Lepisosteus oculatus: one gene and its partners. The protein of the gene in region 4 interacts with the protein of the main gene of each other region in a pairwise test. Links are inferred from orthologs where the notes say so. Each region holds a gene or a part of one and is shown on either strand. Other genes may lie near its edges. The genes, in order: psme3; glycogen phosphorylase, muscle form; calpain-3; ntaq1.

Region 1 (7,949 bases), on a different chromosome or scaffold from region 4:
CAGGATAAAAAATAGAATACTCTTGGCATATTTCGTGCGATGGCACCTCAGATTTTACCTCATGCCTGCTGTTGGCGATTCCAAACGAATTTAAAACAATTGTTACAATGACAAATTTTCACTTTTCTACAAAAAAAAAATCTAAGACCAATTGTTTTGTGGTACAATTTTCTCTTAATCAAGGGTACAGACATGAAATAATAGCCTAAATAAAAGGTGGGCTGCAGGAAAATAACTGAAAATGTTGGGGAGGAAAGTATGAAAAGACCTCATTTGCTCCTAGCTTGTACGAAGGCCATAGTATTTAGATGAACTGATAATTCCATGTGGGAAGGGTATGTTAAAAATAGAACCATTGTCAATTCTGCATTGAAAACAAAATATTAAACCTCCATGTAAATTAGCCCTCAAACAGGCTCAGCCATCAATCCAACTGTTTGGACTGATCGGTTTTATCAGCTTTTAAAAAACAAGGCTCAAGAGGAACAGCATTATACTCACAGGCTCCAGCCCATCGTGGCTGTTTGTGAGGATGATGGGGTCAGGCACGGATAAATTGATCTCTGAATGGATGTCTTTCAGCTCAATGATGTTTAAGATCGGGTCCTGTAGAACAGCAGATCAAGGCACAATGAAAACACATGTGAACGTCAGCAGCAAAAGGTTCTGCCTTGAAACCGGACCACAGCCTTCATCTGAAGAGTCCTGTCAAACCACCAGCCTTGGAGACACGTAACTTTATCCTTTCCTTTAACATCCAAGGAGTGATGATTAGTCCTTGAGCTCAGAGACCTCAGCTTGTTTTAAGACCTCATTAGGCTTTAACTGTTCCTTCGTCAAAACAGAAAACACAAGTCCTTTCCCCCCAAGCATATCTGCTTTTTAACATTTTTCGTTAGTTCCCTTCTTGAGGAAATAACCACAAGGCAACAGAGAAACATTTCTCTCTCCCGTTCGGCTGAGCAAGGGGTAAAGCTCTATTCGCTCACCATATGACAGTCACACAGCATTGGTCACGTACTCGGCAGTGATCGTTCAAACCAAGCACCAGACCTTAAATCTCTTCAGTAACTCCAGAAAATGTGAGGCTCCACGTTACTGAACTCAATTCTAGCTTGATTCACACATTGATTCCAGCACTGCTGTGGTGCCCAAGACGTAAGGCTGCTAACTTAGAAATGTTAATTAACTTCACCCAGTACAATTCATGGTTCTGGGAGTGCGGTGACCTTTTTAAGCCTCTCTCGGACGTAGATATCTGGCTACACGGAGGGGGCTTACACCCTCTCCAGAACTTCGATCTGCACGAAGGTGGTTATTTTTCTCCTCTGCGGTATTATTGCCATCCCATCAGCTCTCCGACCCAAAGGTCTGGCTAGGGTGTAGTAAGCGTTGATTTCAGCACAATGAACAGCAAGTCGTGTAGGTGAACCAGCAGGGGGCAATCTTCTGTTGAAGACAGAATTACTAATTGAAGAGCCCCACTATGGGGACAGGGAATACCGTGCTGTACAATGATTTCAGATGAGATTGAACTAATGTCCTGATTATTTGGTTGTTAAAAGATCCCTTGAAACAGTTTTTCCAGAATTGGTATGTTAAGCAAGCATCTTGACTAAATCCCATTCTGGGCTTGCATGATCCAGCATGGCTAAACGTCTGGAGTAATTCTCACCACAACTGATTGGTGATTTGCTTTTCAAAGGTGAATAAAGTGCTCTGGGAACCACTAACAAGGAAAGTGCAGTTTAAACGCAATTCGTCTTCTTCCAGGTCTCCTCAGCTGTGGATAGGAGCTCTTACACAACGAAAACCGCGCAAACATAACGGTAAAAATCGAAAGACTTACCTTAAGAAAATGATCGAGTTCCAGTAACTTCTTTGGAAAGAAATTTGCGACTAAGTCTTCTGCCTAGAAAAGTAAACATTGGGAAATGCGAGCTCTAAGTACAGTACAACTTAGTTTTTTATTTACGTTAAAAGAATCGTTTTAATTTGAAAGCAAAAGTACTTACTTCACCGGTGATTCGTTCTCTGAAAGCATCAACCTGTAGAAAGAGTAAACGTAAATCGGGGTCCACAACTAGACTGTCAAAGACTGAAACGTTACCCGTCTGTGTAGAACATTGCCAAGGCTGTGCATTTAATACAGTAACGTAAGATTACGCTTGAAACAGAATACAGCACAAATGCAATAACACGTGAACATGATGCTGGCCAATATATCTACTGGGTGCAAGATTTTTCATTCGTTTTCGCTGTCTGTAGCTTCATCGGGACTGTCTCCTGAACCGAATTGTTTTGTCACTCAGTTTTTATATAAATATATGAGCACATGCGCCGTGCGACTCTGAAGATATAGATTTCGAATAAGATAAACACCCAAGATATCCGGCTCCAAGGAAGTAGCTGTTGAAGGGACAGCAAAAATGTTTACGATCGTTTTTATTCTTTGACACAGCTCTTGGGATTGGACCCGGACATTCACTCAAAACAATAAACAGGACACGTGTCAAAAAACACGAATTCCAAACGCAGGCCAAATCGCACTGAATTTATTGTGCATTACAGGCGCTACGATCATACTATTATTTCACATTATGGAAAAGACTCAACCACAAACGCCTTAATTTCGACAGCAGCAGACACGCACCTCCGGCCAGAATGAAAGAAGGGGCAATACTATTGGAAATATCGGAATATACGGAAATATCCTGTTTTAACTTCAGATAATTCCATATAAATCGACATACGCAGAGCAATTATGACTATATCTGTGAAGCACAGCGCGGGAAAGCCAGGCGATTATGCTAGGCACTTATTTAATACCCCGGCCTTGTGTTACAGAAAAATTTCCGACTGTTCAAATTTCAACACCACATCCCCCTCGCGTCAGTCTTTCTCGGATTACCGTCTCTTACCTTAGTTTTGATTTCATTGTCCACTTTGAGGAGAGAAGACATTCTATTTTCAGACAAATAGGGAAGGGAATCTGAGATCGTATTAACAGAAATAACCGTGTGGCTCCTTTCAGCTCCTATTCACAGCCACAAGGTATCAAAGGGAGAGAACGAGAAATGACGTAGAAAAGCCGCGACGACAATGAGAGGCGAGGAAAATCACCCAACCACGTGGAAGTAGCGTGAAGCTGGCTACACTAAGCGACACGAATGACCCGGAAGTGTATGTCAATAGCCGAATTTCAATCAAAATAAAAGACTTTCAGCTACCACAGCAGCTTTTGAGGAGTAAAGCAACATTAAGCGAAGTGACAAGCAGCTGAAACACCTGCTTTATTTCGTCATGGTTAATTTGAGAGAGTCCTTTTTTAAATTTTAAATCGCCTCCACTTATCTCCAAGTTTGACAAATCTAAGATTATTAGAAGTTTGTATTAATTTTACAGCCCCTTTCTACTACTGTAATATACTGCTATATTTTTTTTTCATAAAAATGTTTCTGTTCAATGAAAAAGGTTTTAAGATGCAAGCTTTTAAAGGAGTTGTATCTGAAATTTGTAATTAAATAAAATCCTTTATTATATTTAAATTCAATCATTTTTTTAAACTATAACCAGGGACAAAAACATTTTGTGCACAATCAAAAGTGGTGAAACATACAATGTTAAGACAGTCAGTCAATAGCAAATCACCCTTCTTCATTCCGTTTTAAGTTTTTATTAATATTGTTGGTCTGGGTGGATCACCTCTAGAAAAACTGCAGTGCAGAATTGGATGGGGAAAATTTGTGCCTCTCCAAAGGTGGATGCAATCTATTGCACAGACCCTCAGCTGATAGAAAATCACCTTGTTTTTGTCAGACAAGTGTCTCTGTCAAAACTGCTGGGGTCTGTAGAGCACCTCCCATCCCCAGACTGAGACCGTGCACTGATGGACAGGGAGCGGTCTCACCCACCTCCCGACCAAACACAAATTTGTGCCTCTTCAAAAATACCTCATATCTATTCTACAGACCCTCAGCTTATAGAAAATCGCCATGGTCTTGTCAGATAAGTGTCTTTGCTAAAGTTGCTGGGGTTTATAAGACCGTAAAGTACGGGCCTTGTGTAGAATCACGTGATCCGCAGAGCACCATATTACCAGCAGTTGGTTATCATTCTCTTGTCTTTATTTATTTATGCATAAACAATAACAACAAATACAATACAAACAAGCGTACATATAACATTTTACGACAAAAACATCGTCAGGGGGTACATATTACAAAATAAATTCAAATTATGAAAAACGTTTAATCTTTCTCTTATGTCCATCCAGGGTTAGAATCACAGGTATCTGTGTAATCTGCATTGTCATGAAACATTTGAAAGAAACTATAATTAGCATCTGCAAATACAAATATAACTGATTTACAGAATATGACATGTATTGCGATATGTTGTAAATCAGTATACGCCTTTAAAGCAATGTAGCTTAACATCTGCTACAGCAGATGAATGAATAGGTATCGTTAACTTATATTCATAGGAAAAACACAATTTGGCATCATCATGGTCAGAAGCGGGAGCCTAAAATGATATAAAGAAACACCTGTCAAACCCAGCGCGATCCACTCGTCTCTCCCGGTTTGAGAGTGCGCATGTACCCTCTTGATGACGTCGGGCGACTTCCTGTCACGTGGGGGCCCGTGTTTACCGCAGATGTAAACAGAAACTGTGGGGAGAAGAGCTTCGTGGCCGAGCTCCGGAGGCAGGCGAGAAGCTGGCTTGTAAAAGAAGAAGACCGTGCCATCGAGTAGATCGCGCTGCTTCTTTGTTGGATGACCTTTGCAGACTTGCACATCTGACAGACGGCCATGGACTCCCCCGTGAGCTTGAAGGCGCATTTTAAGGGACGGGCGGAGAGCCTGCTGGTGTCGGACTCGGAGAGGACGCGCTGGGAGGCGGTGGAAGTGGCGGTGAGCCTCCGGCGCGGCGGTCGGACCTCGGCGTCGGCCTCCCCCCCCCCCAGACACGGCCCTTCTCGAAGTTTCTCCTCAGTTTAAAATCCTGCTTTGCTTCCGTTTCAGGGCCAGTTTGAAATTCCGACGCGCTGTGTATGCGTACGGGCGATAATAGGATTTCCGTGCCGTGCGTGATGTCAGACATTAGAAACGTCATAAATCGTAATCGCAACGAGTAGCCCTTATATCCAATTAATAAAGACCTGGCTCATTCTTTTACACACACTGTACTGTGTTGGTAGCAAAACTATCAATACAGGAGTCATAAAAGAGTCGTGAATGACTGCCCGAGGTTCTGTGCGTGAACTGGGAAAATACCACAAATATGTTTACCTTAACAATCGAAATCATAAATTACAATTAGTTCAAATCTACTTGGAAAACAACCTTATCTGTTATGAACGCTGGGTAGGAGGGCTGCCTTGTTTGCTCCTACAGATCGGCGCCGTTTTAATTTTTTTTTTAAGAATACTTATGTCATATAAAGAGGAGAAATGTTTCTGACAGGTTTGTGGGGCATTGAAGAAACACTGTGTTAAAGGTCACGAAGGCATGACCTTTCGATACCGGAACAAAACGGAGACATTGTATTATTTTCCTGCAGGCGAGTGAGTCATCCGCGGTGACGCAGCATGTCCTTAATGCTTACAGTCGAGATGGAAACCACTCGCATCTGTTCTCCTCGCCCTTACGGAGAGATCAAACAAACAGCCCATAGTAATCAGGAACAGTTTGGAAATGCACATATCCACCCGCGGTGCCCCCATCAGAGTAGAAAGTGAGAAAAAAGAAGACTCGTCCCGTGTAAATGTTGTTTTAGATGGTCCGGCCACCTGCCCGAAAACCATTTTGCATTCTTTGGCGTTTTATTGTGAATACTGTATCTGGCTTGGGACAGCTCTTTCAGAGCACAACATCCCTACATAGGTTCACAGTACATATTGCATGTTAGTCAACATACAATAGGATGACTAAAAACAACAGCTCTTTTCCATTAAAGCTACAGAAAGACAGCGGATCAGTTGCAGCGACCTGAAAGCGCCGTTACAGCTGGAGTACAGGCCGGTGTTGGCACGCAGCTCCATGAACTAGTCCTTGAGACCAGTGGCAACGAATCTGGCCGCTGAAATGAGCCCGCAGCTCCGTACTGAACTTGGTCTCAGTTGCAACAGCTGCTGCCCTCTAGAGCTCACTGAGCAGGGAAATCGCCTCTTCGCATGGCTTAACTTTAAACGAATTAACAGCGTACTAAGCGGAACTTGGGGTCACATTAGAACCTTCTCGAATATAGTGGAAATATCGTCACTAAGTAATGAATTTATGCGTCCGTGGCTTTTTGTTAATTTAATATTATCCTAATATTTAACTAAAATCGCCTTTCAGACACACCGCAATTATCCATAATGAAGTTAATTAGTAAACGTGTTTATTAATAAAAGTGTAATTTATTTATAATGAAGTTTAATGCTGTATTACAGCAAATGTATAGAGCCCTTAGTATGCGATTGTGACTTTTCAGATGTCCCGGGAAGTGGACATAGCTGAAAGTAAATACATCTTTAAATTGGGTGTAAATTTCAGATGTGTTCTGTCTGCAATGGTATAAATGTATCTCAATACATAAAATTAAAATAGCAACGTGTTCGCTTATTAGTCTGTCGGATCTCCGTAGGAATCTTATCTCATCAATGGGAATAAAAGCGGCTATAATACAAGTTCAAACTGAAACCCGCAACTACTGTTCTCGTTTGTTTCGTTCCCTTATCTGCTATATTTTTAACATAAACGCCGTTCTAGAATTTAAAATAACATTACATTGCCAGGGACATTCAAATATAACTATGGCCTATATGTTAATTTACTGATTAGAGTGAGTGCACGTTCTCCCCACGTCCAGGTGGGTTTCCTCGGGGTGCAACAGTTATCGCCCACAGTCCAAAGACATGCTGGTAGATTAACTGTCCTTAGTTAGAGAGTGTGCGTGTCTGTCTGTCTGTGTGTGTGTGTGCCCTGTGACAAAGTTGTCTCCTGCCCAGGGTGCACCCTGCCTCGTGCTTGTTGCTTGCTGGGAGAGGCTCCAGCTCCCCTGCGACCCTAAATTGGATGAAGTGGTAAAAAAAATGGACTGATAGAATCAACTGCATGGGATACAGCAGTAACAATATTAACAACAGCTTGTTTTAGAGAAGCAGGGCGATTGTTAATAAACTTGCCTAGCAGCTACCCCGTTAAGCAAGCATGACGAGCCTTTTCCAAGTGCTTATGTAAAACAGTGGCAGAGGAATTTTCTGTAATTAAATTTGCCAAATTCTCTTGTGGTGTGGGTAAAACGCCAGTGACAGCTTTCTGTGCATGCCTTCCCCACATGATAAGGGCATTAGTATAGTTGCTCTCTTATCTTGGGTCTGAAAATTAGAACGGAAGGCTTAGTGAAGCATAAAATGTTCTTTTTAATTAATTGAAACGGCTTTCCTGAGCCCCATGACATGCAATTCAATGTGGTTCTCTAGAGGAAGAGGAAAAAACCCCAATAGTTTCAACACAGCAGATTAGAGCTCATGTTTTGCCCCACCTAATTACATGATACTTTGGCTTATCACCACCTTCTCATGAAAACGTTCCTCATCTTAGCCAGGTTTGAGAAGCCCTAAGTTGTGGCTTTCATGTTTAAAGAATAGAATGCCTAAAACGGAACTATGGTGGGATGTTTTTTTTAACTTTTAAAGACATCTAAGGCATTAAGGCTTATTTGTTCAGAAAGGGCTGTATTTTTTGTGTGCTCATTCTCTCAGCTGGACTAAGGTCTGTGCCACACATGCTTTATGCAGCAGCTTTGCAATCCTGTAAACTCAAATGCATGCCTCCTTAACAAAAAAGAAACCTGACAGCAATAAAAGTAAGACTAGAGGATGCCATTGGGTTTGACTCTCTCATTTGATCGTTAGCTGCTGAATTGAATTGAGCATCTTGCCCAGGTGCGTCTTAAAT
Region 2 (7,570 bases), on a different chromosome or scaffold from region 4:
TTTAGTGTGTGTGCCCTGTGACAGACTGGCGTCCTGTCCAGGGCGTACCCTGCCTTGCGCCTGTTGCTCCCTGGGATAGACTCCGGCTTCCCCCCGCGACCCTGTCCCGGAAGAAGAGGTTAGAAACGGGATGGGTTTGCTGGATTTTAATTGCTTCTCGGTAGGATGCCCCTCCCTTTTGCGAGACTGAATTCGGGTGGAAGGGGACACTTCTGGACAACCGTCTCTCACGGGTCTGGCTCAGCGCACTGTAACCTAAACAAGTCCAGAATTTACTTCACAGCGAAGCAGTATGATTTAAAACACCCCGAATAACACAGGGCGCCCACTCCCTCTGACAGTGGGTATGGACATCTACTTGTGTGACTCGTTTTTTTTGGTTTTTGTGGCGCTGCGTCGTGTGTTACAAGATCAAACAGAAAACACGAAAAAGGAGCAGGGTCTCACAAACTCTGGGCCACTGGTACATCGGAACCTGAAACGCTCAGCTACTGCCTTAGTCTTCCCCAGGAGGAGACTGGGAGTTTCATGACCTGACCCTGTGTATTTCCAAGGAGATAGATGTTTTCCACAAAGAGGAGTTCTTTTATATATCAAAAACGCAGGATTAATAACAGAACGGTGCCTTCACTACTCGTTATAATACTGATCAATAAATACAGCAAGATCACACTAAAATATCCAGGAACAGGATTCCTGCAGGATGGACATTTGCCACCAAGAGGATTTCCATCCACCCAGTGTCCAGCTGCTCCTTCCAAGGTGAATTCCAGGTCATGGGGGAGCGGGAGTCTATCCCAGCAAGCACCAGGCACAAGGCAGGGTACACCCTGGACGGGACCCCAGTCCATCACAGGACACACACACACACACCAGGGACAGTCCATCACAGGACACACACACTCACACCAGGGACAGTCCATCACAGGACACACACACTCACACCAGGGCCAGTTTTCCCAGAAGCCAGTTAACTTCCCGGCATGTCTCTGGACTGTGGGAGGAAACCGGAGCACCTAGAGGACACCCACACGAACGCGGGGAGAACATGCAGACTCCACCCAGACAGCACCCCAGGAAATGAACCCGGGGCCCCAGCGCTGCGAGACAGCAATGTCCATCACTGCACCCAAATTCCCCCCCTGGCCTGTACCCCTCATGGCCTCTCTGAACTGCTGGGCGTGATGGGGATCCATGACCTGGAAACCCCTGAATCAGGGGGTCTCTAGCCCTGATCTTGAGAAGCCACAGTCTAGTCAGTCTTACAGGTCCCCCTGAATCAGGGGGTCTCTAGCCCTGATCTTGGGGAGCCCCAGGCCAGTCAGTCTTATAGGTCGCCTCTTTTTACAGACTGGCAGCACCTGTCAGCTGTAACGATGGGCCAAGCAAAGTCATCTTTTTTTAATCACCCGTTGAGGGCTGAAGAGGACCTGAGGCGCACAGGCTCACTGAGAAATCGCTCGTGTAATGAACCACGAAAGGCACTGTTCCCCGTCTGGCGATTCCTGCTCCAGCACCTCCTCCGTGGGGCGCTGGGGTATGATTTCAAATTGAAATCTCCTTCTGAACAAACACGGAGCTCCGGTCTCCCCCGGGCTGGCATGGCAGGCTGGGGTGACAGGAAATGTCGTTGTACCGCCCGGCCGTGCTAAACCCACGGGAGTCTGAACCGGCTGCCCCGCACCGGTCTCTCCGCTGTCGCCGGGAAAAAAAAACGCCTCCAGGTCGGTTTCATTTGTTTTAAACGTCAACCTCAGACCAGAGGAGTTCTTGTTTGGCTACTGTAATACACGCTACGCTGTTCTACTTTGCCAGAGGCGATCATCCGGGGGGCGGGAGAACCCCAAAACAAAACAGGTGAACCGGGAATAAATCTCCCGTGAGGAATCCCGGGTGGACGGAGTCGCAAAACAAAATGGTCTACTGTCGCTCCGGTGCTTGCGAGACACGCAACCTTCAACTCCATTACACACCCGAGAGAGAGAACGCAAAAGACACGCCGCGTGTCACGATTCTCCTTCTCCCCTGCGATACGCGAATATGTGAAATAAAGTCGAGGGGGGGGAGATATAACCCATTCCGTTTCTGTTTCGAATAAGATTAAAGGACTGTGTATATACACATGACTATATATGACCCATTAGACGAATAAACAATATGATATTCTAACAGTACGCGCCTATCAAAAGGACAGCTGGCAGCGGGATGAACAGGCGGCGCCCTCGGAGCCCTTACAGACCGCGGGGTTCACAGAAAGACAGACGGGGGGGGTACAGGTACCCCGCTGCAACTCTTCGGTGTTTTTTTTACGGGGGGGCGTACGGTCTCGCACGTCATCGCGCCGGTGATGGGGGGGGGGAGGGATGCTTTGTGGCACGTCGCCCCACGCTCTCCAAAGGCCAACGGAGAGACGCAGGGATGATCCTTAGGGAGACTGTAAAAGACCCCCCCCGTAACCCCCGGCAAAGCCCAGCGGCTCCGGCCCCCCGTCCGTCATCACCTCCACGCCGGCCCCGCCCCCCAGCTGGCCCAGCCTGCATGCGGCAAACACCCCCCCTCCCTCCTCCTCCTCCTCCAGCGCCGGGGTGCTTACTTTGGGGTCTTTCTCGTAGTAGTGCTGCTGGGTGCGGATCCACCGGCCCACCAGGTGGTCGCGCACGGTGTTCGCCAGGGCGAAGTAGTAGTCGCGCGTCGACGACACGTTGCGGTCCTTCACCAGCGTGAAGTGGAGGTGGCGGTTGAAGTTCTTCTTCAGGTCCGTCACGTTCTCCACGCCGGCGAGCCCCCGGACGGAGATCTGCTTCCTACGGTCCTGGTCTGTCAGAGGTCGCGACATCTTGGCTGGCTGGCTGTTTCGGGCTCGGGTAGCTTCGCTCTTACGGTGTGAATGCGGCTGAAGGAAACTGGAACATGCAGTCAGGCGACACCCCCCTCCCCTTAGTCCTCAGAAGCCCCTCAGCTCTGTCCTACTGCAGCGGAGACCCGCAGACTGTCACCACTCCCCGCCCCCTGGCCGCCTTATAAACCGGCCCTCATTAATATGCAAGGAGGGGGCGGGTCCCCCAGCGCCGGCCGCGTCCAATCGGCTGCCACGCTAACGGTCGCTCAGTTAATATTCATAACGCGCCCTATTAGGCGCCGCGATTGTCTCCCCGCAGAAAGCGAGATGAAAGGACACGGCTGGAAATAAACACGTTGCCCGCCCCCCCTTGGTGGTACAGATGAGGGGGGGGTAGCAGAGACGGGCGTTGCTGAACGTCGTCAGGTTGAAAAGCGCTGCTCCCACCGATGATACTCGCCGATTCACTGTAGGACTTAAATTCCTCTCATAGCTGGGAAGCACAAACTACATCAGTGTTGCAACAATTTTTTTACCCTACAAGGAGTAAGGGAGGGAATATCTGAATTTTTTCCCAGCAACCGCTACGCTTAATCAATTGTCTTCATCTTAATCAAGAGGCTTCCCCAAGATGTAAATAAACTCCACATCCGCACCGCTATCAATGAGTAGACTTATATGGCCACAAATCTCTCGAGACCGAGCATTGCACTGGACCACAAGTCCCATCGTGCCCTGCTGCACTGGGGCAGCTGGAGAGGGCGTCCGCAGCCAAGCATGTCTCTGGCTCCGAGGCGTCTATTTAAAGCGCTGACCCCCTCCTCAAAGGCCAGGGTTAAAAAAAGACGCCAGGATGAATGATGGGAGCAGGGGGCTGAATCTGGCAGCCAAAACCCCCAGCGGTCACCAGCGCACACAAAAGACAGGCAGGAGGGCACAGGGTGGAGCTGTTAAAATAGGGTGCTGGGAGAGAACACTCTTCTGTTCCTGAAAAGCATCGCAACCGCCATCCTGCAGAGAATCTTGCAAGGTTTAAAGCAGGGCGGGTAAGACTGCTATCCTGGAAGGACAGAAGGCTGCCCTTTTCTTTCCAGTCAAGCCCCTTAAACTCGTTCCGTTTAATCAGCCCAGCTGAACCGTGCACGTTTGGGAAGAAAGAGACTTGGACAGCGGCGGCCCACACAGCTGAACTCGGGAGTATCAGCACCATTAAGAGTTCAACCCTTTTTAAACATTTCCACCTTGTACCTTCAACAGAAACAGCACAAACCAAGAGCCCCCCCCTCCCTCCCCCAGGAACAGGACAATGGGTTCTGTAAATTTATAACTCCCCTTTATTTTCACTGAAAAGATACAGAAAATAAACATCAATAATAGAAAGTCAATAGAACCGATATATCAAAAAGCCGCTCAGGGGGCTGGGAAGGGGGCACAGCAGAACTCCTGGTAGCAAGACCACAAAGCACACTGACCAATACGTAGTGTTGCTGGCAAGGTCACAGGGGGCGTGGGGCCCAGATGTCCAACTTGGGGAGAACAAGCTTAAAAAAAAAAACTACAAAAAGTCTTTTTACACGTTTAACAGATGACACATTTTCGATGCCAGTTCAGGAACATTCGTAATACTCTTCACATCTGACGACTTGCACATTTTAAGGCAGACAAACTGCAGGTCTTGCCAGGGGCCTTTTAGATGGTCAGTTTCAGGACGCGGTTTTGAATGACAGAAAAAACCCTGAGGGAGAGGGGGCGGCAGCTGGTGAAGAACAGCTTAGATCTGTCTACTCGGGGAAACGGTTCTCATCTGTTGAGGAGAGAAAAGGCTTCTGCCGTTTCAAAAGCAACAGGCACCACCCATTAGCAACACCGACCTTTCAATCACATTTTCCCACAGCTTCTGAATTTGACTTCGCAAATAAAACCGTTCTGTGGCTTAGAAGATCTTCCCGCGATTCAGAGGATCTCGGAAGCCCAAACTACCCATTACAGGGGAAAATAAAAAGATTTACAAATCGGGTTTCCATCCACAGCTTGAAATTAAATGACCTATGCCCCATTAGGCCCTAATGAGTAATTTTAGAAAGATCCCAGGGGGTTCATTTTTCATTGCAAACCAGGACTGGGGAGGATCGCCTCTTTGGATCACAAAATTACCAAGGAAGCTGTGTTTTTACAACAATGAAAAACCAAACATCTCACTAGGAAACAATATACACATAACTGACCCCCCCCCCCCAAAAAAACAACCAGGAGTCCTAAGCTAGGACAGCAAACTCAAGTTGCAATTTGCAAGCTAGAAGACAAAAGAGGTCGATGCCAGGGTGAGATTTACAGGGAAGAAACACGGGATTGATCAGTTTACCTGGGACTGGGCTGGGAATGCCGACACTGTTCCTCAGTACAGCACCCCCGTCATGCTCAGACCTCCACAGCAGAATAATTACACACACACACACAGGGGTCTTCCGGTGTTTCAAGTCTAAAACCAACTCGAAAGAGCGCCACGTTCATCAGGTCTAAGACTGTTCCACACAGGAGGACTCTCCTCCCTCGTGAAAGACTCTGCAAGAGGGCCTCGAGGGTATGGGACCAGTATACTGGTTTCACCACCACACTCCAAACCTTTAGAGAACAGCGTGGTGATGTCAACGTTAAAAGTTTCCCCTTTTAAAAATGCCCTGTGTGGAAATCCAGTATTTACATCGTGTTGTTTTTTTCTAAAAACAGTTGCGTTAAGGTCAGAGTCCGCACATCTGCTCCACCCGGGGGTGGGAGGGTGGAAGGAGGGGGGGCAGCTTAGTTCTGGGGGGGCGGAGGAGGGGGCGCAGGGGGCATCCCAAAGGGCGGCATCCCGGGGACCCCCATCCCCATCATCGTGACGAAGTTGGAGGGATCCATGGGGGGCGGGGGAGGAGGGGGGGCGTACATCATGCCCGCAGAGCCCGGAGGAGGAGGTGGGGGAGGGGGAGGGGCGCCGGGGGGCAGAGGAGGCTGGACTCCCGGCGGCGGGGGCACCAGGGAGGGGTTCCCCATGGGAGGCGGGGGCTGGGCGGAGGACCCCGAGGACTGCTGCTGCTGCTGTTGCTGTTGTTGTTGCTGTTGCTGCTGCTGCTGCCAAGGGGGCAGGTTTCCAGAGCCCGGAGAAGAGGTGGTGATGGTGTCTACAGAGCGGAAAACAAGGATCGATGGTCAAGCATGAGGAAAACGGAGAGACTCGCCAATCTAGTACCAAGTCTGATGTATTTAAGGCTTTAAATAATCGAGTCTCTTCGGTGATCATGAATATGCCAGTTCTGCTTGACTGTACTAGAAGGTCAACTGCTACAGTCACTTCCAATAAGGAGCACACAGTACGGACTTTGAAAAATTGAGGACAAAAAATACCATAAGGAGCTGAAAGCTCTTTGAACCAGAAGCCGACGGCCACCACGCCGGCTTCTCCAACTCAATCCCCGAGAGCCCTGCCACCCGAGAACCGCCTGGCTGGGGCGAACGAAGCAGGCTGGCTGCACCAAAGGGGGGGTGGGGGACTTACTCTGTTGCCATGGCAGCGGTGCGCTGGTGGCCATGCTGCTGGTCGGAGGCGGAGGGGGGGCCTGCTGCTGCCACGGAGGGAGCGGCGCTGAAGGCGGCGGCGGCGGCTGGCTATTGGGAGGTGGAGGAGGGGGCATCAGACCCATTGGAGGCGGCAGCAGGCCTAGAGGGCAGAGGAGAGAGAGAACCGTCTTTAGGAGCTCAGAAGGCTCAGAGGAGCTGGCAGGGCCTTCCTGCATCCCCTCGGAATCCTTACTGGGATGCGCCAAGTCCGGGCCGTCTGCACAGCGAGAGGCGGGGCTGTAGTCCTAAATTCACAGGCCAGTTATTTTAAAATTCTTCCATCTCGGAACGCAGCAGAAATCCCTGAGCTCTGTGAAAGTACTGCAAGTTGCCATGCTCCCGAGAGTTCGCACGAACTGCGACGTGAAGCAGCCCTTCCTGCTCACTGTAATGTACTGAGATGTACGAGTGGATAAGTACAGGTTGTGCAGCAGACATTTCACCGCAGAAATGTTCCAGCGTGATCCGCAGGCAGAGTTAACCAGTGAGCAGTATTTGCCAGTGAAACCGTCTTGGAGAGGAGAGCAGTATTTCTACTGGATTAGAAGAGCTGGACTCACAAGCCTGCTTGTTCACTGTGTCGCAGGGCCGGACACCTGAATCCCAGAACATGGCGCTGAGCAGACCTGGAAACTTCCTGCGTTTCGCAACGTAAATGGGAGGTTTTACCCGTTACGGTGGACATTTTACCGTTCTTGTGGCTTGAAACGCGCACATCACTGCTAATCCTTTTAACCCCAAAACATAAAAATACCCTTGCAGTTCCCCTTTGACCTGGGGCAGGTATAGCCCCACCTCCTTTCAGTGTAATCAAAAACAGGGAAAGAATAACCGGTATCGAAGGAGCTCGCTCGACCTTCCTTGCTGGGAGAATAACCGTGCAAAGCCAACCCGACCACCACATTAGTTTTCAGACTTTTCACACATGGGGGCGACAGGCCTAAAGCTTCTTTCTGAGGTACCACACCGCATAGCGCTCACAGAATCCAGTTTCATTACCCCAAGAAGTCTCACCCATATGGGGGTGTCCGTGTGGCCCAGGACCCTGGTTCATCGGAGGAGGGGGGGGCTGCATCCAAGGAGGAGGGGGCCCGTTGGGGTTGGGCGGCATGGGTGGGCCGCCCATGCCCATCG
Region 3 (7,991 bases), on a different chromosome or scaffold from region 4:
GACTGAACAGCCACTTACAGCAGCAGCCGCATTATTAAGTTTGCAGATGGCACCACAAGTATCGGGCTGATCAGGAACAACAATGAGTCCACATCCAGGAGTGAGGTGGAGAATGTTCATGTGAAATCCCCAAGAATGCACAAGAAAAGAAGTTTAGCAGAGCCACATCTGACAGGAGGCCAGAACTCACCTCCTCTGCGATACCTATGACAACCACAGTGTAACTGAAATGTTTGAAGTTAACACTTACTGTAACACCACAAGATGCTGTCTAACAAAGCCTTGTGTGTCAATCACAAGGATGGCCACTGCACAGATTATAATCATATTCATGTCTCCACCTATAACTTAACTGTGATTTTGTAGGTTAAAGGAGCCGATGTTTCCACAGCAAAATATTTTTATTTTGGACTACAGTCCTTTCTTTGGCTCTGCAATGTAAGAATTGAACAATTATCATTACTGCCAAAGACATATTTTGTATGGGACACACCCCACAAGGAAAGATTTTAACTGTTTAAAAGATTTGAGCAAGTTTGTACCACTCAGTGTTTGGGTTTTTCACTATTCCTTGTGTTGTAGCCTCCCCTACAGATCAAGATGAGTTACTGTACTCTTGACAGCAAACAGTACAGACTTAAGTATGGGAGAAGGAGTTTTTGACAAGTTGTGCAGCAGCTCTGCATCACTGTGTTTGCCAGCTGCACAGAAGTATGTGACGCTGTCTCCTGGTTCCAGATTCTTCACTGTGAAAGATCCTTTTTGAGCTTCAGTCTTTTTAACGTCATATTTCTTTGTACTGAGTTCTCCAAAGTCAGGGTCAATACCAACAACAGAATAGACTATGAGCTGAATTCTCTCTCCTGGGAGCTGACGGAACCAGTACATAGCATTGTAGCTAATACCCCCCTGGTGTTCACAGTGCATCGATACTGACTCTCCTGTATTGTTCCAGAGAATGAGTGGGGTCTGGGAGACATGGAGTTCTTGACCACAACCAGCTGAAAGAGAATAAAAGAGCTAATGTGAGAAGAGAAATAAAAACTCCCTGATATTGCTTCCCTTGCAAAAATTTAAAGAACTAGTACTTATATTCTAAGATAGAAAACCATTTAAACAGTCCATTTAAGAACACAGATTTCTTCTCAACAATAACTGTGTTCCAATATTTGTCATTTAAAATAGTTTTTACTATTTTAGGAGATTGCTTGCTTCACAAAAGAATTGTGTTACTTTTTCTTAAAAATTCAGAAACAAATAAAAGTCAGCAAGTTTACTTGTTATAATGTGTAAGAGAAGAAGAGAAGCCAGAGGATATCTCATCTCTCCTATGAAGTCCAGAGGCTTATTCTACTGACACAGACAATGAGCACCTTCAGAGTCAACAGGTGTCTTCTTTCTGATCGGTAGGAGCTCTGTACAGGAAGTGACACAGCTAGTATGTCAAGGAATGAGGAAGTCATTAGGTTAGCAGGATATTTAAGTGATAATACAGTCACTGTATCAGAAACTGCAAAAACCGACAGTAAAAGAAGTTACAAAATAGAGGAAGACCATTCCGCCCAGTAAATCAAATAGTCGGGGAATCAATTACAAATACCCAGAAGACATGTCAAAGACTCCACAAATAAAATTTCTTCAAAAAGTCTTTTGAAGATCTGTTGCAATTGGGGAGGGAAATAACAGCTAGTATCAAAAAATATTCACAAAGTGTTGCTACTGTATATTGAGCTACAGCAACATCACTGATTGGCATCAGTCAGAAACATTAATTTTCAAAACTGCCATGCAGCACCTGGCTTGAGGGAAGGAAATACATCATGATTACAGTTAATTTCTTTTAATGCTGATAACAATAAAATTACATGTGGTTTCCCTCTCATTTGGAGTAAGAAATAACTTTGTAGCTGGTGTTGCAGGTGCAACAAAACAGTGATACTAACATAGATCTGTTTTTGTCTGGTCTTCACGTGCAGCCAGCTCACTGTGCCTCCTGCTTTGCACAGAAGTACACAGCACTGTCAGCAGACTTCAGTTCCCGCACAGTCAGGTACAAAGATGAATCTTTCCGCTCTGAAGAGAACCTTCCTTCAAATTTTTTTTCCATTGATTCCGTGTCATAATAGTAATATACTATGAGCTCCAGATGTTGTCCAGGCAGCTGGCGGTACCAGTACATTCCACTGTAGCTGGTGCCTTTCTGAGAGCAGTACAGAGTCACATTGTGTTCTTCTTCAATCATGACATTGGGAGACTGGTCAACTGCTAGAGCTGAAGGGAGAAACAAGACAGTCAATAAATGTCAGAACCTTGAGAATATCAGAGAATCCCATACTTATTATGCAGTTAGCCCAGTCTAAAAGGTCCTACTGAAAACAGCACTTGTGAAATATGAAATGATTTCTCTTTTCCAGCCATTAAGATGCATTTTCCTATGTCTTGAAAGCCAAACATGCTGCTAAAAGCTTTTTGAAATACACTGTGCATTAGATTCCTCTCAAAAGAAATTACAAGATATGAAAGTTTGCAGCTGTATGTTTTTTGCACCCATTTCAAAGCAACAGAAAAATAAAAAAACAAGACATCATTTTTAAATTAAACATGGACGATCTTCTTGTTGAGTGACGCCCTGATTATAAGGTTTGTACCTAGAGGAATCAGGAGCAGGATGATGGCCAGAGCCATGCTCTTCAGTGGTGTACATGAAGAGAGCATCAACATCTAGAGGGACTGGAGCTGCCCCTGCCTGTTTAGGGCTCTGTTCAGGAAGTGACTCATCCAGCTGATCTCTGACTGAGAGGTGAATGCTGGCTTAATTGCAGACGTCTTAAACTTGTTTAAATAGTCTATCGTAAAAACACAAGTGTGTTTGCCAGCATTCACAGAAAGGGCATTCATATATCCTGCTCCAGTGGGTTTTTCACAACCTCTCTGCTGGCCACAGTATATTGTACTTTTCTCTTTGCAAAAAAAATATACAGCTTACAACTTAAGAAAACAAATGCACTGTTAAACATGTCTTCGGTGTTGTATGGAATCCAGACCCCAAGCATCTTTTATTTATTGAGCTCCCCAGCAGCATTCTATACATCTCCCAAAGAAGGCTCCTCACAGCCGAAAACATTGTGTTTCTTTTCTGCTCTTTTCAGCATGGAATAAACATTTACTTCTTCCTTGTCTCTTTCTCTCCCCCATTTACAGTAAGTGAGGCAGTGCTTTCTTTATCCATCCCAAACCTAGTCACCAACCCGACTGGCACCCTGTTATAGTGTGCCCAGATAGTAAAAAACAGCATGACTAACAGCACACCTGAGACTGAAAAACAGTGAGTCTCAGCAAAACCTCAGCTTTCTGGATGTCTGAATACTTTTGGCACATATATATTCCACATGGCTAATTCCTGTCATGGAAACATTCACACTCTCCTTAAGGGGAATCAGGGTAGTGCCCTGTCTAAAATAAGTCTACACAACAAGTATAGAATATATGAACAACAACGAGAATATATGAACCATTAATATAGATTCAGTTTATTAGTTTATTATTATTAGTTTATTCAGTTTAAAATGTTGTTTTTGGTAAAGGGTTTTTGTGCAAGGTCCTATGTTGGGAATTTACCATTTCTTGTATTCTCTTGCCCCCTGTAGGACAGAGAACAGCAGCACAACAGCTGAGCTGAGAGCTCTGAATACGTTTTTTTTATTAAACATGTTCATCTAATCAGCACAGGAAGATGTAGTTACACACTTTCTTTCTACTTAGCAGGGTGAAATGCAAAAAGGATGCAATGTTGCTTTTCATCATTTTGTATGATTCCTGCAGATAGTGATACTGCACTGTGCTGTGCACTCCTCCCCTTGCTGTTAAACTCCACTATGCCATGCATTCAGAGAGCTGTCACATCTCACAGCTAAAGCATTCAGCAGCTGCTTCATACTGTATGTCTGTGCACTCCATGTCTGGGTGCACCCAGCAATTGAAAGTACTCCCTGCAACTCTGTTGAGAATGTATGGCATGCAGTTCATGCATTGGTGCACCTTGGTGTTGCCTCAGTTGGTGTATTTTCTGTGTTTCTATGAGCTTCATGACCCATGTACGTCTTGCATTGGTCACGCACTCAGTATCCCAGTTCTGGGAAATTCAGTATCCTGGTGTTCTTCTGTCCTACGAACTTTACTCACTTGCGTGCTGCATTATGTTATATTGGGTCAGTGCTTTTCAGTTAAGTGCTGTCTATGCTCTAGATTCTAGAGTCTAGAACTTGTGGTGCCAATCATACATTGCACTCCTTTAACCACGGCATCCTCAATTTCTGCAAAAAATGTGCCAATACAGTCCATTACCACCTAGCACCTAGCAAATTATCCCTAGAGGATGGCTATGGCTTGTCTTAGATCTGTTACCCCTCCAGTACTACAATAAAATAATTTTGCCATGAAGTGGAATATCTGAGAAGTCCTTGAGTGAATTTATGTACAAGCATATCAAAAAGAAAAGGGAGGCCTACTCTATTTCAACAAGCATAAGAATATGCAGCAAGTAGCAAACAAATCATTCACTGGGTACTAGTAAATCTTCATTAAAGTGAGTTGCATTCTTCTTCTAAACAGCACCATATACAGTGCTGTATAGTAAAATTACAGTCTGTATATTGTACCAAGTGTAATACCATATGCTACATCATCTTGCTTCCCCAGTTCAAGGGAGTGCTTGACTTGTCAAAACTGTTAGATTATCAAATTTGATTTAAGCTAGAGATAATGTAAACTTTATCCCCAGCAATCAGTCAAGAAGACTGTTTGCTACATGTTATAACAGCCACAGATGCTCCAGATTCTTTCTGTGCCTCTCTCCAGCCAAGCTGACTGGAGTGGAGAGAGCTCTCCTGGAGATGAGTGTTTGAAAGTAGACACCTCCGTCCTTTTTAAAAGTTTATTTTTAGAGCTCCCAATTGGTAGAGATTGCTAGGGAAGTGGTGAGGGTTTGTGTGTGTGTGCGTTTTTTCGAGAGCCTGCATGGGCGTGTGTGTCTGAAGAAACTGGAAGCCAGCAGAAAGAAGGGGAAGTTAAGGGAAAAGATTGAGAAAAAGTTGTGTCGGTCATGCGTAAAAGAGAGGTCTGCAAGTGCAGAGCTTGGGACTGTCAATTTATAAGGTGGGGGTGGAGGGAACAGACACGAAAGAATAAAATGAAATTTTAATTTTTCAGCCTGGCTTGAGTGGAACTTTCTGACAGACAGATTTCTCCTTAGCAGTTGAAGCCATTATCAGTTTTAAATATATACGGTATACGTACTTGCTCTTTTTTCTTTCACAACTCTGCTGTGGACTTCACACAAGCTGCCAGTTTTGTGGAGTTTGTTAAGAAGGAAAAATGGCGACAAAAACACCTGTTACCGTGGCAACCAGGACGACAGCCTCGCCAATGCCTCAGAAGAGTGCCTGCCCTTCGGGGACACCTGGTGGGATATACTCGGCCATCTTGAACCGAAACCACACTATCATCGATGCCAAGAGGCTCAAGAGCTTCTATGAGCTGCGTGACAAGTACGTGAAAAAGAAGGTGCTCTTTGAGGACCCCACTTTCAAAGCAGATGACTCCTCTTTGTTCTACAGTGGGACATACCCCATTAAATTTGAATGGAAACGTCCACCTGTGAGTATACAGCTCATCCACTCTGCAGAGTCTGAACAGAAAACCATAAATAAGATAACTGTTTAGTTATAACAAAGCATACACAACTTTTGCAACAGAATTTTTAAATAAACATGAGAAGGCTGTATCAGTCATGTCAGGAGTAATCAAACGCCAGCTGCGTTGGAAATCTCCCATTCCACTGCAAGACAATCAGCTGTTCTTGATATTGCTCCTTGCAGACATCAGTAGAATGGATAGGAAGACAGGAAAACATTTGTTGTCACTTTCTACATTTTGGTATAATAATACAAATGCATGTGATACATAATACATTGGAAACACCAAACGTATTTATGTAACGAAAAGATCAAGCTAGAAGTCATCGACTAAATGCTGGGGAAAGGTTAACCTCAATTGGGTCGCAAACAGCCGTTATGAAAATTCTGTGATTCCATCCTTAGCGGCTGATTTCCACAAGGGGGCGCACCTGCTAGCAAGGTTCTGTGTTAGGAACCTGAACATCACAACCTGTCTTTCGTACTTTTAACAGATGTTTTATATTATTCCTCTGAAAAAACGTTATGGTGTCTATTCCTGTTTTTAATCAGTGATATTGTAAGGAGTGATTGTAAAGCTGGCTGGCATCACAAAATGCATTTACTGCTTTAATATATTGAGTTTTTTGCCGACCTTTTGTGAATTCACACAGGTACGAAAATCGGATATGTTCGTAAGAAAGGTTACAAATGAGAGGAGATTGTGTCGGTTTGACTACGATATATTATGTTGCTTTCAGCGGTAGGTGTAGTCTTGCATACACTATCCCTGTTAGGATAGTTGAGTACAGAGTACTGTCATCAGGAATGTGTTTAAAATGCTCAAATTTGAAGTTTAGGCTGCAGAAATGCGTCTTGCATTTTGGCAGCTGCGCACACTAGAATTGCTGTGTTGTGTAAATTAACTTAATTGCATTGTTCTTTACAATAAATATTATTTTTTAGATATTGACAACCAACTTTGGCTCCTGTCAGTAGGATACTGTTTCGGGACTTTCTGGGGTATGCAGATTGTAATTAGGTACTCGGACTCCTAATGTTTCCTACAAAACTTGCCCGGCTACGCGTTTCACTGTCCAGAGCTTCACTGAAACATTTTCATTTTCCGAACACGTTTACCCGCCACTGCTTTAAAGTTTTGTCCGTCCAAATGGAATGCGGTTTTAAGAGTTCATTCAAGAGCTTTTTCGTATCCTTTCGTATTTTCGTACTGTTAGGTCCATTTGAGGAAGGAACAAAGGACGATCGCCATACAGTATAAATCCAGCCGAACCAGACTAACATTGAATGTAAACTAAATGAGGTACTCTGATACTGTATCTATGGAAGCCAGAGAGTAAACAACAAAACGCGCTATGGTATCTCAGAATTCCGACTAAGTATCTCAGAATTGCGACATAAAAAAAAACGTTTTACTAAGTAAAAACTAAGTCGTCATTTAAAAAATTAAATTAAACTTTAATCTACCTATCAAATGCAGACATTCTTATTTAAAAATGCCTTTTAATTGCCTATGCTGGTGTCCTAATTTGCCTCTTCCTGTTTATTATGTAATCAGATGTGCAGTTTCTTTTACAGATGAATCTGTTCGTAGAATATATTTTATTCAAAAGTAGTCACAACTATTAAGATAATTGCAAAACGTTCATGTCAAATAAATTTACTATGAAAAGTAAAAGATAATGGATCCATTTACACTTTAATTTGGTTAGGTTTCAGGGCAAATTTGAAATCCTGTTCAGTCTCAAAGTGTCCAGGAATCATGGGTGTCATTAGCAACCATATTTAGAAATTCAGTTGGGTAGCTGCGTCAGCTTGACACCTGAAGAAGGCTCCACGGCCGAAATGTTGTGTTTTCTTTCTTACTCTTTTCAGCATGGAATAAATCTATTACTTGTTCCATATTTAGAAATGAACTCGGTACAGCTGAGCTAAAGTGAATGTGATGAACTAGCACATTGATGCGTTGTTTCAAACCAGGCAACCCTAATCAGGTTTACTTGCAATGAACCTACTGTAGTATGAATACACTTTCCACCTTCTATGAAACAGCTTCTATTGTTGAGATATACAGTAGTGTGGAGTATCAAGTGAAAACAGAGCATTTGATCATATTAAACTGCCCTCTTGATGCTTATTCACTGCCCACATGTACAGTATGTAAAGATGGAAGGTATGACTACAGCAGAAGCAGTTTTGTCCACAGTGTTTTCCAGACTCCGGTGATCATTTTGGGATATTTTCTTCATTAGTGTTTGTTTATTTTGGTTTGAAACTCTCAATCCTGACTGAAGCACT
Region 4 (7,700 bases):
TTTACTCATAACCCATTCTCTACTGGTTGTGTATACGTTAGAAGAAAGAAATCAATGCTACCTTAATGCTGTGTTTGCAAATATAAAATGGGCAACTGAATATTATTAACTGCACTCTCTAATCAATAATGCCAAACAGAGTTTGATGGATGCACTCTAACCTCAAAGCGAAATATCAGATATTGCTAAAAAATTACAGTTCAATCTCGGATAAAAATGTGAAGATCTCACCAGCATTTTTAAAGCTGTGATTTAACAGCAATATCCTCCTGCCCTTTGCTAATTAGAACATAAATTGGGTTCCACACTACACTGAGCTTCACCAGTAGACCTTTTGTAATGGGGCAGTAATTTGTTTCCTCATAATCGGTTCTGAAAGGTCTTTATAAAAGACATTGTGTTCTCCACAGACAAAAAGACTTTACCTTGTAAAATGTTTTCTTTCTTTCCCGTCCTTTTGTGGAGTTTCCTTATCTTTAAAATCAGAGAAAGACACCTCTTGCTTTTCCTTCTGCCCGTTTGTCTTCCTTAGAGATAGTTCAGCTACATTTTCTTCATCCTTTACTGATACATGGCTCTAAATTCAAAGGAAATTTTGTAAAACATGTGTCATTTCTTATTTCTTATTATAAAAAAAATAAGACAAGAAAGCAGAATTGATTTTGGGTGAAAACACATTTTCCTAGATTCTAGATGCGCTTTTCCTCACATTTGTGCATGAAGATTATCACAATGTCATACCAAACAAACGTCTTTCTTGATGAGGCTCCTTCTGTTTCTATTCAGCCCAACCTTACAATCGTTGACTGTAATAAAAATCAGACTCCAGCTGTAAAATGCCTTCATCCTCTCAACAAAGGTACGAAACAGTATACAGTATCTCAGCAAGCTGAATTAAAAGAGGAAATCTTACTGGCTTACCAGTTTAAATGTACCTAAAAGTTACAATAAAATAGCAGATCTAGTTCTTTCCATAGCTTTCACCTGTAAATTAAGTTCCACACTCGAAGGGTAGTTCCCTAAATACGTGCAGCAGGCCTTTCACCCAGAGATCTTATATATTATCCATTCATCCATTTTCTAACCGCTTCTACCACAGTTCAGGGTCACAGGGGAGCCAGAGCCTATCCCAGCAACCAACGGGAGCAAGGCGGGTGGGGTCCATCACAGGGCACACAAGGGCCAAATTTCCCAGAAGTCAATTAACCAACTAATAGATGTTTTGGAGGAAACGAAAGCACCCTGAAGAAACCCGTGAGAATACGGGGAGAACACACAAACCCCATGCAGACAGAACTCCGGGTCCAAGATTCAAACTAAGGCCGCAGTGCTGAGAGGCAGCAATGCTATCTGCTGCAATATCATGCTGTCCAAAATTAAAATCTGATTGACCACATTACAGCACAATAATAATAACTGCTTACACTTATATAGCAATTTTCTGGACACTCAAAGCGCTTTACACCACCAGTGTGCAGCATCCACCTGGATGATGCGACGGCAGCCATAGTGCACCAGAACGCTCCCCACACATCAGCTATCAGTGGGGAGGAGAACCGAGTGATGAAGCCAGTTCATAGATGGGATTAGGAGGCCATGTTTGGAAAAGGCCAATGGGAAATTTAGCCAGGAAGCCAGGATAACACCCCTACACTTTCCGAAAAACACCCTTGGATTTTTAATGACCACAGAAGTGTCAAGACCCTGAATTAAAGTCTCATCCAAAAGACGGTGCCTTTTTACAGTACAGTGTCACCGTCGCTATACTGGGGCATTAGGACCCACACAGACTGCAGAGTGAGCACCCCCTGCTGGCCCCACTAACACCTCTACCAGCAGCAACCTTAGGTTTTCCTAGGAGGTCTCCCATCCAGGTACTGACCAGGCTCACACCTGCTGAGCTTCAGAGGGCTGCCAGTTGTGAGTTGCAGGGTGAAATGGCTGCTGCTGCAATATCCAATTGATTCAGAACATCAGGCTCCAGACATACTGGACACAGGTCAACTAGCAACATAATCACTGACGCTGCCAGGTCGTGTTTTTATTAAGATTTCCATTTAAGGTTTCTTTTTTTCACTTAATAACACTGCCTTCTGTGATCTGCTCCTACAACTTTTGGCCAGCTATTGGACAGCTTTGAGCTGTTACCAACTGATGGGAGCACTTGTGCAAATTTCAGCGACAGATTACTGTTCAACAAATCATAAAAGACAATTTCTTAACTACGACGATGGGGAGTAACTATTTTAAAGACACGCTTTAGATACTGCATTCTGTGCCTGGAGAGATCACGACTTTCTGCTAACGTTTAGCTGGCACTGACGTTACTACTCGCAGTAACTTCAAAATCATCCCCTTTCGTCTCCAGGTGTCCACTACTGTCCACCTCAGGAATTATTCATCCTCGGATCTGCAGTATGACAACCGAGCCAGCAGCAGATTTTGACATGATCTCCTTTATTCAGTCAAGTCGTAAGGTTAGTAACTGGGCTCTGATGACCCGGACACGCTCACCTCTTCGCCTCTAAATTAAAACACATGGACATGGAAACTGAACTTTGATAGGTCGAAAACGAAGCTAATTACCGATAGGCCGGTATGAAAACAAGTCGTATAACGCGTGAAGGAAAACTGTCAGTAACCTTAGTATTTTGCATTTATGTTTCTCTGTTTAAATGCAAAATAAGAATTTTACGGACTGTGCACCGGGTTTCGTCCTCTGTTAATTCACACGTCATCCCAACTCTCACTCTCTTTGCTAGAAGTCAGTGATGCTGTCAGGCAGCCCAGATCATCTGATCTGAGAAAGCTCTGGGCGACCAGAAGAATAAACCGACGCCGTAGTCCAGTTGTTATCAGTTTGTTGCGATTAAGAGCCAACACGCAAGGCTCCCTATATCACGAAGTGTCCGGCTGATCTGGGGGCCAGCTGTCAGCCCCCGACTCAGACAGTTTCTTGGGAAGAAACCGCAGCTCGTCTAGTCCAAAACAGCTGTCATTCCTGACGCACACACCCTCCCATTAACAGCTTTATCATTATTATTATTATTATTTCTGGTAACCCGCGAAAGGACAGGAGGCTCACGTGTCGAGTCGGGGTGTTCTCGGCTCCGCTCGAGCTGTCATCCGCGGCCCTCCTGGAGCGCGCGGAGCGTCTCCGCGCGGACGTCAGGGACAGAAACTCGGCGCTCGAGTCCAGCGCCGGCAGCTTCTTCGGGGACGCGGGGTCCGCGCCCGCACTGCTGCGCAACATCACCATTATAGCCCCCCGTTCTCCTGCTCAGACCGTCAACGGACGTGTTGGAAAAGTGAAGAGGTTTCAGAGTAGGAACAATCCGCTCATGTCCCTTTTCCGGTAGTGGCCGGACAGTTGCCGCTAGCAGACAACCTCTCACTTTTTCTGTTTTTCCAGCCCTTGATTTCTGGCGCCACAAACGTCACAGAAAGTCAGATCACTACCTGTATGTTGCTCCGAAGCAAGAAATAGGCCACGTAGGTACACCCTCTTCACTTTGGAAAGTAACGTCCTGTTTCTGACCACACTATGCTGAAATGGCGGTGACGATAAGGAATTTCTATATGACACCCCTGCGTCCTGTCGTTCTTGTTTTCTAAACACCTTAAGAATTTTATTCCATCCTGCGTAGTGATCTATTTTGAAAGGGTGCCCCGGTAACTTTTTGGCGCGTAGTAAACAACGCCACACGAGGAGCTTTCATTGGCTAATAACAAAGGCCCCGCCCCCAAGCCGAGGTCATAACAAGCACGTGAGGCTCAGGGAAAACGCGGGAGCTGTCAATTCAAAACAGCCTTCTGTTGCAGTGCATTCTGAATATCTGCGTTACACAGTTACAGGCGTCTCTAAGAGGGGCAAATAAGAACAAAAGGAAAGCTGCACTTTATGAAATAAATGTACATTCCTTACATGTCTCAAATACATACAGAAGCGAGGTTCATTCTTTCAGTTTGTGCACATAAATCTTTAGTGTTCGTGGTAAAACCAGCGAATACGTTAATAATGAAAACTTACCAATGAATTTGGGATTAATTCAGTTTATTTATCGTCCTAGAAATAAGGCAGAAGGACCCTGGGAACCTCTGTTTATAGTTTTATAGAGGATTGCATTTCGTATGTATAAAAGCCATCTCTGGCTGATTTTGTACAATTTTTTAAGAAGGAAAACTGCTAGCCTGTTTAAATTTAATGAGTGAGAGGAGAGGGATTTCACAAACTCATTGAACGCCATGCTCAGACAAGCTTATTTTGTATTTGTGGACGTCATGTACTTTTATCAAGTATGAAACAACCAAGCTAGTAGGTTTGCTGGCGCGAACTAGTAACGATGAAACTGTTTTTTTTATTGTAGTCATATATCGAGTCTGTATAAACGACTGTTTCTGATTGCTATGGTTAACGTAAAGTTAAAGTTCGATTAAGTATTTATCTCTATACCGTTGCTTTTGTATTCAAAGGGATGACTGTAAGAAATGTTTAGCTTTGAACCACAGTGTTTGATCTTTCATTTGTGCATAACACTAAATATACTTTTCATAGTCAGGTTATACATAAAGGTTTACCAATAAAAAGCGGGTGAAAACAGTCTGAATTTATATCCACCAAGAGGTTAACATATTACATAAAAGTTGTTTGCCACCCGGAGCAATAAAGGTGTAACATATCCAGTCCCCCTGTTTTTAACGTCCGCATGATGTTACGTTCCTTTTTTAGATGAACAAGTCAAGAAAGTCAGGAATTCACTTTACTGTTCCCTGACATCTTCCCTCGAGTCATGAATAATACAAACGAATCATCTCATTATTGCAGTATTACACCTTCCAGACAAGACTGCATCTATACAAGCTGCTACTGGTGAGGACAATTGAGTTATCCACAGCAGATATTAGGGTATTCACGCTACCCTGTTGATAAGTCTCTTGTATTACTATCAATGAAACTGTGCGGCAGGACTGTGAATACATTTGTGTTTTTATTTACTAAAGTTGATTGTCCTGTTATGCCTTTTCTTAAGAGGAATTCTGCTTCGATGTTTAAAAGGTTTTTCTTTTGCTTTTGAAGGAACCTTTAAATGCTATCCGGATTGTCACGAATAGAATTAAGTTTGTTACTGTGGGGTTTTTTTTTGCGGAATGTTGTACCCTTAACGGTGTGCATAACCCCTTTTTAATCTTTACAGTAGCGCTCTTTTTTCCTGTTTTATATTTTTATTTGAGGGCATGAATGATGAATTTAGTTTACATTACCTCTAGTCGCCTGCCAATCTACCGATGCAGACTATTAAACTCTTTTTTTGTTGTCAGCGAAGAGAATGTCTGGAAGCTCTGCGAACACATTATGACTCGAAAACAATACCCTGAGGATGGAGTTTATGCAGTGTTTATATCCAACGAAAGAAAGATGGTAAGCTGTCACATATACCCCTGTTTTCACCAAGTCTAGGAATATATGCACAATGTATATAATGTATATACAATGTATAGCTCTGTTTTTGCTGATTGGAAAGACGGTATGCAGATTTCTGATTTTGTTTAATTGTTTTTAGCATCATTGTAATCATTTAATACTGACTGAGTGAAACACACGAATGACTTTGTTACATGAAAACTGATTGGTAACAGGCGATGAGCACATTTCCTAGAATAAACAGGACACAAGCTCTCTTCTCCAAAAATGTCTGTTTCACACTTCAATTTCAATTCAATTTATTTTTATATAGCACCTTTCACAACAAGGTTGCCCCCAAGGCACATATCAGTGTGACAGTACATGACGTTACAGTCCAGAAAGAGAAAAAGCCAGAAGACAACGGAGGAGAGGAACCAAAAACTCCTCTGTAAGGAGAAAATAAAACTCTAGGGGTCCAAGGTCAACTGGCTGCCCAACCCCTCTGGGCATGCTAACATTAAACAATTCCAAAAGAGTACTAAATGTGGAGTATTGAGTCTTCCATCATGTCCTTCTGTGTGCCAGTACTCCATGCAGTTATCTGTGGACCAGCAAATTCTCCTGAACTATAGCTACAGTATATTCGTGATCTCCCTCTTGGATCCATGGCAGAGATGCAGCATCCAGCTCAGATGGTGCCCAGCTTGGAACCTCTCAGCACTTCAGCAAAAGTCATTAAAACTGTTGAATGCCAAGGTGGAGGAAAATGAATAGAAAGAAAAAACGCATATGACTGCTACGCTCTGCTTAAATCAAGAGAAAAATAACTCTGTGTCACCAGTATGACACAATACCCAAATTACTGGGACAACAATCTCAAAACTGCTATTTTTGCTTTATTGCCAGTCTGTATTTGTGATCATGAAATTGCTATGATTGGCATGTCCAATCTTATATACTGTAACGCCCCGGGGTTCGCGTGGGTGTGCGCCCTCGCCGCTGCCGCCTCAGGACGGCCCCCCACCGTCAGGGACTCAAACCCGGGCCTCCAGCGTCACTCAACAGGGACCCAGCCACTAAAGGGAAATCTCCCATCAGCCTAGTGGCTACGGTCCCTGCTATTCCCAGGGAAGGGCGGTGACGTCACCGCGCGGATAAGCCGGCTCTCACAACCAATGGTGGCCGTATGCGTTACAATACTTTTTATTTTTAGGAAGCACCATTCATATGTTTGCTAACATTTGATGAAAAAGAAACTTTATTTTCAACCCAGTGATTTCAAGTAATTGGGACACTTGCAGCACAGACAATTTGATCCTCCAAATAAAATCATGAAATTAATTTTCATTTTATATGTTGATTAACTTAAAATGTGTCTGTTTTCTGCCTCTCTTTCAATAAGCTGTAAATGACGTATTAATGGAGTACAGTCTGTCTTGTGTTTCAGGTTCCAATCTGGAAACAGAAGTCAAGCCAAGGAGATAAGCCAGTAATTTGGGTAAATTGCACAGATAAGAACCCTGTTCATCCTGAGCCCCAAGATGAGTGTCGCATTAGAGAGTGCCATTTCAGATGCACCTGGTGGTAACCCAGCAAAATTAAACAGATATGGCATGACTAATAAAACCTTTATCCCTGTGCTAAATTTGCGTGTTCCCCCAAATGAGAAATCAACACAATAAAACAAAAGAGAATTACTGACAGCTGAGGCTGATTAAACCTGGCTGTTGTCACTCCTCCCCAACCTCTGTTATAAACTTCGTATCTGGGCAGTGAGAGAGAAGGCAAACAGCTCTCCCTGTCTGAGATCTTGAATTATTTTGTTAATCTAACTTGGTTCTTAACAGATCTCTAGCTCACTGAATCCTGCTCTCTAGGTGGGTGGGTGTTTCACGTGAAAGGAAGAGCAAAGGATTAATGATGAATAAACAGTTCTCTCCTGATTCAAGTTTCATGACATGTATATTAAAGATATTATACAATCAAGGTCCTAGATGACCAGTGTGTCTGCATTTCTTTAAGGCATGATGAACTATGGGAAGCTATTATGCACTGTCTAATTAAGCCGGTAACTAGCTGATTTATCTATTTAACGTCTGAGTTGCAGTGCAGACCTGCGGACACATCAATCCAAACTGATATACACATTATTCTCTTCCCCAGGACTACCATGTTATCCTGCTCCATGAGAGCCGTGAGGGCCAAACTTATATCTACGATCTGGATACCGTCCTGACCTACCCTTGTCCATTCGCTGTGTACGCAAGGGATGCCCTTCAATCAGATGATTTTATCA

The links.
Region 1: the proteins of ntaq1 (region 4) and psme3 interact in binary tests that used the Homo sapiens proteins (3 or more experiments, as listed by UniProt). The two-hybrid records come from large-scale screens. The link is inferred for Lepisosteus oculatus from reciprocal best matches to the Homo sapiens genes NTAQ1 and PSME3.
Region 2: the proteins of ntaq1 (region 4) and glycogen phosphorylase, muscle form interact in binary tests that used the Homo sapiens proteins (3 or more experiments, as listed by UniProt). The two-hybrid records come from large-scale screens. The link is inferred for Lepisosteus oculatus from reciprocal best matches to the Homo sapiens genes NTAQ1 and PYGM.
Region 3: the proteins of ntaq1 (region 4) and calpain-3 interact in binary tests that used the Homo sapiens proteins (3 or more experiments, as listed by UniProt). The two-hybrid records come from large-scale screens. The link is inferred for Lepisosteus oculatus from reciprocal best matches to the Homo sapiens genes NTAQ1 and CAPN3.

What each region holds. Positions count from the first base shown.
Region 1 is NC_090723.1:3,609,183-3,617,131, reverse strand, and holds the start of psme3 (proteasome activator complex subunit 3), read right to left. Parts: upstream 3,006-7,949; 5' UTR 2,964-3,005; coding exon 2,922-2,963; intron 2,049-2,921; coding exon 2,016-2,048; intron 1,913-2,015; coding exon 1,850-1,912; intron 607-1,849; coding exon 502-606; intron 1-501. Other genes in the region: nbr1a (NBR1 autophagy cargo receptor a), read left to right, coding at 4,815-4,916. UniProt on the Homo sapiens protein: Subunit of the 11S REG-gamma (also called PA28-gamma) proteasome regulator, a doughnut-shaped homoheptamer which associates with the proteasome. 11S REG-gamma activates the trypsin-like catalytic subunit of the proteasome but inhibits the chymotrypsin-like and postglutamyl-preferring (PGPH) subunits.
Region 2 is NC_090713.1:21,553,810-21,561,379, reverse strand, and holds the start of glycogen phosphorylase, muscle form, read right to left. Parts: upstream 3,004-7,570; 5' UTR 2,837-3,003; coding exon 2,594-2,836; intron 1-2,593. Other genes in the region: sf1 (splicing factor 1), read right to left, coding at 5,636-6,000, 6,375-6,536, 7,436-7,570. UniProt on the Homo sapiens protein: Allosteric enzyme that catalyzes the rate-limiting step in glycogen catabolism, the phosphorolytic cleavage of glycogen to produce glucose-1-phosphate, and plays a central role in maintaining cellular and organismal glucose homeostasis.
Region 3 is NC_090703.1:20,821,844-20,829,834, forward strand, and holds the start of calpain-3, read left to right. Parts: upstream 1-4,981; 5' UTR 4,982-5,373; coding exon 5,374-5,655; intron 5,656-7,991. UniProt on the Homo sapiens protein: Calcium-regulated non-lysosomal thiol-protease. Proteolytically cleaves CTBP1 at 'His-409'. Mediates, with UTP25, the proteasome-independent degradation of p53/TP53.
Region 4 is NC_090705.1:10,684,821-10,692,520, reverse strand, and holds the start of ntaq1 (protein N-terminal glutamine amidohydrolase), read left to right. Parts: upstream 1-4,691; 5' UTR 4,692-4,790; coding exon 4,791-4,870; intron 4,871-5,319; coding exon 5,320-5,419; intron 5,420-6,851; coding exon 6,852-6,902; intron 6,903-7,567; coding exon 7,568-7,700. Other genes in the region: ATPase family AAA domain-containing protein 2, read right to left, coding at 426-577, 3,086-3,259. UniProt on the Homo sapiens protein: Mediates the side-chain deamidation of N-terminal glutamine residues to glutamate, an important step in N-end rule pathway of protein degradation.